2 linked regions of the Drosophila melanogaster genome follow. The protein of the gene in region 1 interacts with the protein of each later gene in a pairwise test. Each region holds a gene or a part of one and is shown in the gene's direction. Other genes may lie near its edges.

Region 1 (3,642 bases):
TGCTTTAGTGCTGTCGATTAATCTAGCCATTTTTTTAAATTGGATCTAGTGAGAATTTTAAAATCGTAATGTTTGGTGTTTTTAACGGGCAACAACAAATTAAAAAGGACAAAAAAAAAATAGAGCACAGATCAAACAAACTTTTGGAACGCTAACAATTCTATATTTCGTCAAAATACAAATATAGTACAAAAAACTATCGACCAAGCCTACTTGCTAATTGGGAATCGAGGCGGCAGGAGCAGCCAGTGGCAGGACCTCTAGCTTATGCGAATCACTGTGATCGCTGACGAAGTGCAGCACTTCGAAGCCCACCTCTACCATGATCAGGATTATGATCATCCACTCGAGCCGGATATGATGGGCATCGTTCAGATTGTGGGACACCAGCTCGGCCAGTTCCACGCAGTGGTTGATCTTCTCGTTCATCACCTTGGTGCGCCGTGAGATGCTGAAGTAGGAGCACACCTGCAGGTAGAGTGCCTCCAGTTCCTCGCGGTCCCAGTAGAAATCGGGTGCATCCAGCAGATCCGACGACAGGTTGATCACATGACGCAGGGCAAATAATTCACCGGTTTTTCGCAGCATGGCCGCCCGCGAGATTCTTAATCGGCGACCACGCTTTAGATCCTCGGTGAGATGCTCTATGGAGTCTATGTAGCGGTCCAGTGTCGCCTCCCACATGCCCAGCTTTATTGACTGTGCCATCGCATTGGAGAAGGTGTACTTATACAGGAAACTATCCGTATCGGCGGTAACAAAGAACTTGCCATTCTGGAAGAATGCCCGTGACGTGACATTGAAGTCGCTGCTCTCCGCCACCAGATCGCCCTCCACATCCACCGCCGTCGATGGAATGTAGGTGTAGGGCATCACCTCGCTCTCCCCGTGAACCAGGGCACTCACATACGATTCCCTTTCGAAGGCGCGCAGGAAACTTAGCACATTGTTCGTCTCGATGTCGCTGCAGTTCCAAAAGACCACCGAGCCCTCGCGGAAGAAGAATATCTCCCGCGGCTGCTGACCCGTCGGATATTTGGCCGCCACAAAGAGCACATTCTGCTCCACGTCCAGATTGTCTGTGGAGAAGAAACGCTTCGTCTCGTACAGGTTCTGTTCGCGGAGGGCTATCTGCAGATCCTCCAGATTGTACTCCTCGGCGGTCGTATAACCACGGGTGTTGAGAAACCCCAAAGCGGACAGTTCATCGATGGCCAAGCGCTTCTTTCGAATGATCCTGGTGCGAATGGGCGATAGTATCGACTCCAAGCGCTCCTCGGCTAGCGGCAATGGCTTTACCCGCGGTTGCGTTTGAGTTCTAGGTACAGAAGCTGCTTGAGCTGGCGCCGCAGCCGATGAGGTGGCTTCACTGGCCAACCATCGGCGGCGGTCCATCATCCACTGCGTCTGCGTCTGCTGGCGCGGAATTCGAAGTCCTCCAAGGACCATCTGCCCGAATCTCAGGCGTGCAAAGTTCATGGCTTTTGATTTATGCTCCAGCAGCAATTAGTGGCCCATTTCTGGGAGTTGAGATCGGTTTGGTAACGAATCGTATCTGGTGGCTATATAATATAGTAGCCGGCCTCCGATTGCCTTTTGTTGTGATTATCGAATCCGATAGGCACTCAGTGGTGAACTCGGTTCTTCGGCCGTTAGTTATTTCTAAGCTATGAATTTTCATTATTGCTTGGTATTTATACTACAAATTTGGTAGTTGAAATTCTGTTATTTGCTTTTTGAAATGCTGTAACGAGTCTTCAACTCATACTACATAAACTTCTGCCAATAGAGACAAATTACTGAACCTGGATACAAAATAGCCAAAATGTGAGAACTGAATTTAAGCGGCCAACCGCCTGCACTGCTCCGATAACGATAGCCATCAGCTGTTTTCATCGCTCCACTTAACCATTTTCTTCCCCATTTGGGGCAAAACAAAACGCAGTAACTACCCCACATTCAGCACGTGCGGCGCCAGAATTCAGGACGCACTGCAGCGGGCGGCAAGAGCAGAAAGCAACGCGGATGTGCAACACCGCTTAGTAGCAACATAAAATGAACGCATTGCGCAACATCTTCACATCGCGAACTCTCAACTATTTGCGCCAGAATGGACAAAACGCGATCCTCAACGCCACCCAGCAGCAACAAGCGGTGGACGCCGTGCCGCTAACCAACGATGCCGAGCAGCACCTAAAATCGTCGCGTCCAGCACCGCTTTCCATACCGCGCTCCATACTCGATGCGTGCCATTTCACGGCCAAGCAGTTTGACCTGGGAGGCTCCACGTCCGGAAACCAGGCGAATGGCTCTCTGTCGCCGACGACACTGAAGCGCTTCCGACGCATGCAACGCCGCATGGAGCTGGTGTACCGCTGCAAGCTGTGCAACACCCGCAACACGAAGACCATCAGCGAAGAGGCCTACTACAGCGGCGTGGTGATCCTACAGTGCGACGGCTGTGCCGTCGACCATCTGATCAAGGACAATCTGGGACTGTTCACCGGCAGCGATGGCGATAGCAGCATTAGCTCTGGAATCAGTACCAGCAAGAATATCGACCAGGTGCTGGCCGACCGGCATGCCCGCGTCCGGGTGATCAAGGTGAACGAGCGCGGCGAGCTGATTTAGGAACTCTAGTCAAAGGGGCATCAGTAGAGGTGAGAACCTGGTGCCGTCAACCTGCGAATCGTGTCTGAGGAGGACACACTCGACACGGGGTGGCACATTGAACCCAAGCAACCAAGCACCCAAGTACCCAACTGCAAACCGGAATCCCACATTCTGTTTCCGAGCTCAGACGGCTGTATATAATAATTGTACTGTAATTGTTGATTGTTTCGGGCCGTGAGTAATGCCTAAAAAAGTGATTAAAGGAACGACCAGTTCAAAAGCAAAAAACAAACATTGTATATGGCTAAATCTGTTATTCCGCTGTAGACTATCTAATCAGGGTGCACAGAAAGAAAAATGTCTCATTGTTGATATAAATGTTAAAATACATATGTATATGTACAATCATCAAGTTTTGGCTACAAGCCATCAATTTTTGTCAATATACGCCGTGCCTATCTTATATTGACCAGGTTTTTTTTTCTGTGTACGCACACGCATATATACTAGACGTGCCCAGTCAAAAGTGGACTCATTTATTTATCTGGAGAGCCCTAGAAGCCGGTAGAAGCCGAAGGGGCTCGGTGGCCGCTCGCTAATTGATCGGATCGATCAAAACACAGCCGGAGTGCTAATTATCGCAACAATAAAAATTGGCACGCTGCCGGCCTGGCTACGCAATGGTGAAATGTGCCGGATTGGTAGGTATAGATACGGCTTTGGGGCTAGACACTAATGCATACCATATATAAATACATATAAGTATGAAAAACACGCCCCTGTCGAGTGATCTTTTCTGCGTCGTAAGGGGCCGCCGAATCCCTAAGAGATATGCCCCCAAATTGGCTAACAACAACGGATTTTGTGCGCTGATGGCATGTGGACGGAAGATAGTAAGCCCACGGAGTCTGTAGTTATTGCCAAGTGGTTCTACCAACTGTTACATCCATCTCTTGACATCTAAATTAATTAACTTCATTTGAAACTTCATTAAGATCTATCCCAATCTGCTGCTCTGCCATAATAAAT
Region 2 (3,755 bases), on another chromosome or scaffold:
GTTTAGTATGTATGTGTATTGTGTGGAATTTGGAATATTCGGGTTTTTTTTCAGAATTTACAGGGTATTCGTTGTGTTTGTGGTATTTGTACAGGTGTTGTTACACAAACATAGAATCACACACACAGAGATACAGATGCAGACATACATATAGATCGAGTCGATTGATTGATTCGTTTTGACCGCACATCAATCATAATCGGAGTTATGGGAATCGAGTTAGAGATTTCATCATTATTACAGTAGTAGTAGTAATAGAGAGAGAGAGAAAAAAAGGGAAGACAGAGAAAGCACATAAAACGGAAAGAGAGATCACAGATACACGTTTATTCAGCTGCCATTGGAAAAAGGCATCTAGAACGTCTTAAATGGACATCTATGCATGAACAACTGAGCATGTTGGTGGTGATTTTCGGCTGGTCATGAGTGCCTATTGAATCTGCAATTAACTTAAGCCGTCTCCAAGCGAGGATTCGTGGTTATGCAACACGGCTAGCATCCAATCATCACCATTAAAAAGTTTATCAACGAGTAACGGAAAGCTTTCAAACATGTAACTCCTTCAAGAGATATAAACTTAGTAAGTATGTATATGTCTGTAAATGCAGCAGATGCATGAGCTAGGTTGTGTACAATCAGTTTAACAATATATGAACTTCGAAGGAATGCTTCAAAACTATTTGATTAGCTTGCAAGAAATGAACTGAGTATAAGAAGCAGTTCTTCGATTTGTGCATGACCAATGATATATGAATATACATTTGAATAATATTAGTGACATTTATAACTAATACCATCCTCGATACGAGTGATTTACAATGAAATTTTATAGCATGCCAGCGAATTTGATTTCAATGATACAGAGAATACTTATGTAACAGGCAATCAAAGGTCGAATACAGATACTCAAACGATTTAGTTTTTAAATGGTTGTGTTTGTGATTCAGTGTAATGTGATATTCGGTGGGTGGCTTTCGATGTGAATGTATTTATTTTCATCAGTAATGAGACTACAACAAACGGCCGGTGGCTGCAGCAGCGACGATCAACAGAAGCGGATGGTCGCTATATATGCTATATGCTATATGGCTAGGCTATATGGCTACTCAAACGGATCGAATTTACATACAACTTATAACGCATATATATAGCACTTTCTAGATGTGGCAAGCTTTTAAGCAAATCGATCGGCAGCGGTACATAATTGCTGTGGTTGCTGTTGTTGTTCGTAGTTCATTGCGATTGAAAATAGGTGGTTTACCTGACTTAATGCCGTTGGCATAGCCTTCATCGTGTGAATATTTACCGGCAGGGGTGGAATGCCAGTGATTCCACTAGTTCCGCTCAGCAGTTTCTCCACGGACGTCTGTCCGGTTCCGTACTGCATCGATTGAATGGCATGGCTGCTTAGACTCGAGGATATGCCGCTGATTGAGTTGGGCACCAGGGCCGATATGGATGATAGGCCGCCTTGGCCGCCGCCCCCGACCACGCCTCCCGATCCAGCGGAGACGCTGTGGGCGGCAGCAGCGGCGGCCGCGCTGTGCGAGCCAAGACTGGTGCCGCTCAAGCTGGTGCTGGCCCCACCATTGGGCAGCGTGGAGGCCAGCGATTGCGGCAGGCTTGAGTAGCCGGAGGATAGGGCGGAGACACCGCCGCCGCCGCCGCCGACGCCACCTCCTCCTCCTCCGCTTCCTCCCAGAACTGCTCTTTTGTAGCGGTTCAGTTCTTCTTCGAGTTCTGCGGGCATTACAAATTCCATTCTATATTCTATTTCTGTATTAGTGTTATCTCTGGCTTGCTTACCACTCTTTGATATGGTTCTAAATTCGCTATTTACCGTGCTCAACATGGAACTGGGCGGCAATGCTGACATGCTGGCGCTGGCCGAGGTGCGAGGTTGTTCCAGCTCGGCCAGCACGCGATTATCCTGCAATTAGGCAATAAGGATAGATAGATTTGTAGTAAAATGACAATTCTCTAGAGAACTTGAATGTACATCTTAATAGGCTATTACTTTAGCATTGATCTATTATTTCCCCAACTGCCCTGAGAAGTCCGAAGTAGACAATTTTGTATAGAAAAAAATCCAAATTCAACGTGAGCAATCCAAACCAGATTGGACGGATGGATAGCTCGGTGCCATCCGGAGCCGAAAGCGGTCTTATCAAGGAGTACAAGGACTTTGCCAAATGCCTGGACGAACTGGAGTTCAAGACCGATGAGCTGCTAATCGATGCTAAAATGGTGGATCAGGAGTTGGCCAACTGCCACAAGTTTCGCGAGGATCAGCTGCTGAAGCATCTGACGGAGAAGAACGACGACGACGAGCAGATGCAGTTGCTGCGGGAAAACATCGAGCTCAAGGCGACCGGCGTTGAGTTCCAACACGGCATTGAGCTGATCATGGAGAAGTACCGTGAGCACAGCGAAGGGGACATGTTAATCGATACCTACCAACTGAGGGAGCACTACCTGGCCGGTTTGTCGAAGGTGGTCGAAGAGCAGGATGCCCGCATCGAGCGTATGGTTGATGTGATGAAGCTAACTGTCGACTTCGAGGACCGGAGCAGTGCCGAGAACCAGCAGATCATTTGCCAGCTGACTGATGAAAATGAGCAGTTGCGTCGTCAGTTGCAGATCAGTACCACCGATGAGCTGTTCCGCCAGGGAGCACTGAGCTCCAGCGAAAGTAGCACTCAGATCGGACCAAACGATTCTTTGGATTCGAGTGCCACCCGGGAGAATAGCATCTACAGCATAGATAGCTTCCTCTCCTGCCTTTCGCCGAGCAGCGTGGAGGATGATTCGGAGTGCTCATCCAACAATTCGCTGCTGAGTGAGCTGGAAGTCACTTGCTTTATTGAGGAGGCTCTGGCCGAGAAGCCCGAGGAGTAGACCTACAACATGGACGAATAGGCACAACACACGTTCCTGCCCCACTGCAACACTGGCTGTTTACGTTGATTGAATACTTGGTACTTGGTACCCGAAATATAATTTCATTCGAGGCTACACTATCCACACACTACTAGCTGTCTGTTAGCTGTTGCTGTTCTTTCATAAAGATCTATATACCATTTGCACTCCTAGGAGATTAGTTGCACTTAAATACCTGCTCAATCTTTGCCATTATGATATCAATCTCGGATCCTTGGTCCTGGTGGCTGATTGTCGGTGCCCAAGTGACGGTGGAGCTGCTGGCCGATGTAGGAATGGTCGCGCCGCCACCGGAGGACACGCTCCCCATTCCGGAGCAGGCCGAGCGGGATGCCTGTTTGGCCTTCAGAGCCGACGTCAGTTCGATTTGCAGCTCCTCGCAGCGCACATTTTCCAGCGCAACCTATGGATTTTTAGAGTTCAATACGATTGAGTAGATATGATTTGAGGGCATATAGTCACCTTCTTTTCCAGTTCCCGGGCTCTCGACTGCAGATTCTCCACCGCCTCGGCATCGGGACGAGCGCTACCGCTCAGATTGCGTATTTGTGCCAGGGTTTCCTAGGATAGCATATATATATAAATACAGATAAACAAAATGTTCTATAAATCCTATAACAATACAATTGCAATATACTGTTCTTAAAATCAAACTATAGTACCATAGTTTTTCATCTGAAATTCCATTAATATGTGCATGAGTTCACGGTACCTGGAAGGACACTCACCTGATGCGCCCGCTCGATCTCCGTGCGCCGCATCTCGGCATCGCGCAGCTGCAGGCTGAGGGCGTCCAGCATTCCGTTGGGGGTGGT

Evidence for each region.
Region 2: the proteins of CG8206 (region 1) and h-cup interact in a two-hybrid assay, tested with the Drosophila melanogaster proteins (one large-scale study listed by BioGRID).

The regions. Positions count from the first base shown.
Region 1 is NC_004354.4:15,737,348-15,740,989, forward strand, and holds CG8206 (uncharacterized protein), read left to right. Parts: upstream 1-1,882; 5' UTR 1,883-2,055; coding exon 2,056-2,631; 3' UTR 2,632-3,070; downstream 3,071-3,642. Other genes in the region: CG11679 (uncharacterized protein), read right to left, coding at 217-1,479.
Region 2 is NT_033777.3:15,381,242-15,384,996, reverse strand, and holds h-cup (heineken-cup), read left to right. Parts: upstream 1-2,045; 5' UTR 2,046-2,127; coding exon 2,128-2,898; 3' UTR 2,899-3,115; coding exon of another isoform or gene 3,116-3,343; 3' UTR 3,344-3,402; coding exon of another isoform or gene 3,403-3,501; 3' UTR 3,502-3,590; downstream 3,591-3,755. Other genes in the region: Rbp (RIM-binding protein), read right to left, coding at 1,262-1,740, 1,807-1,930, 3,116-3,343, 3,403-3,501, 3,669-3,755.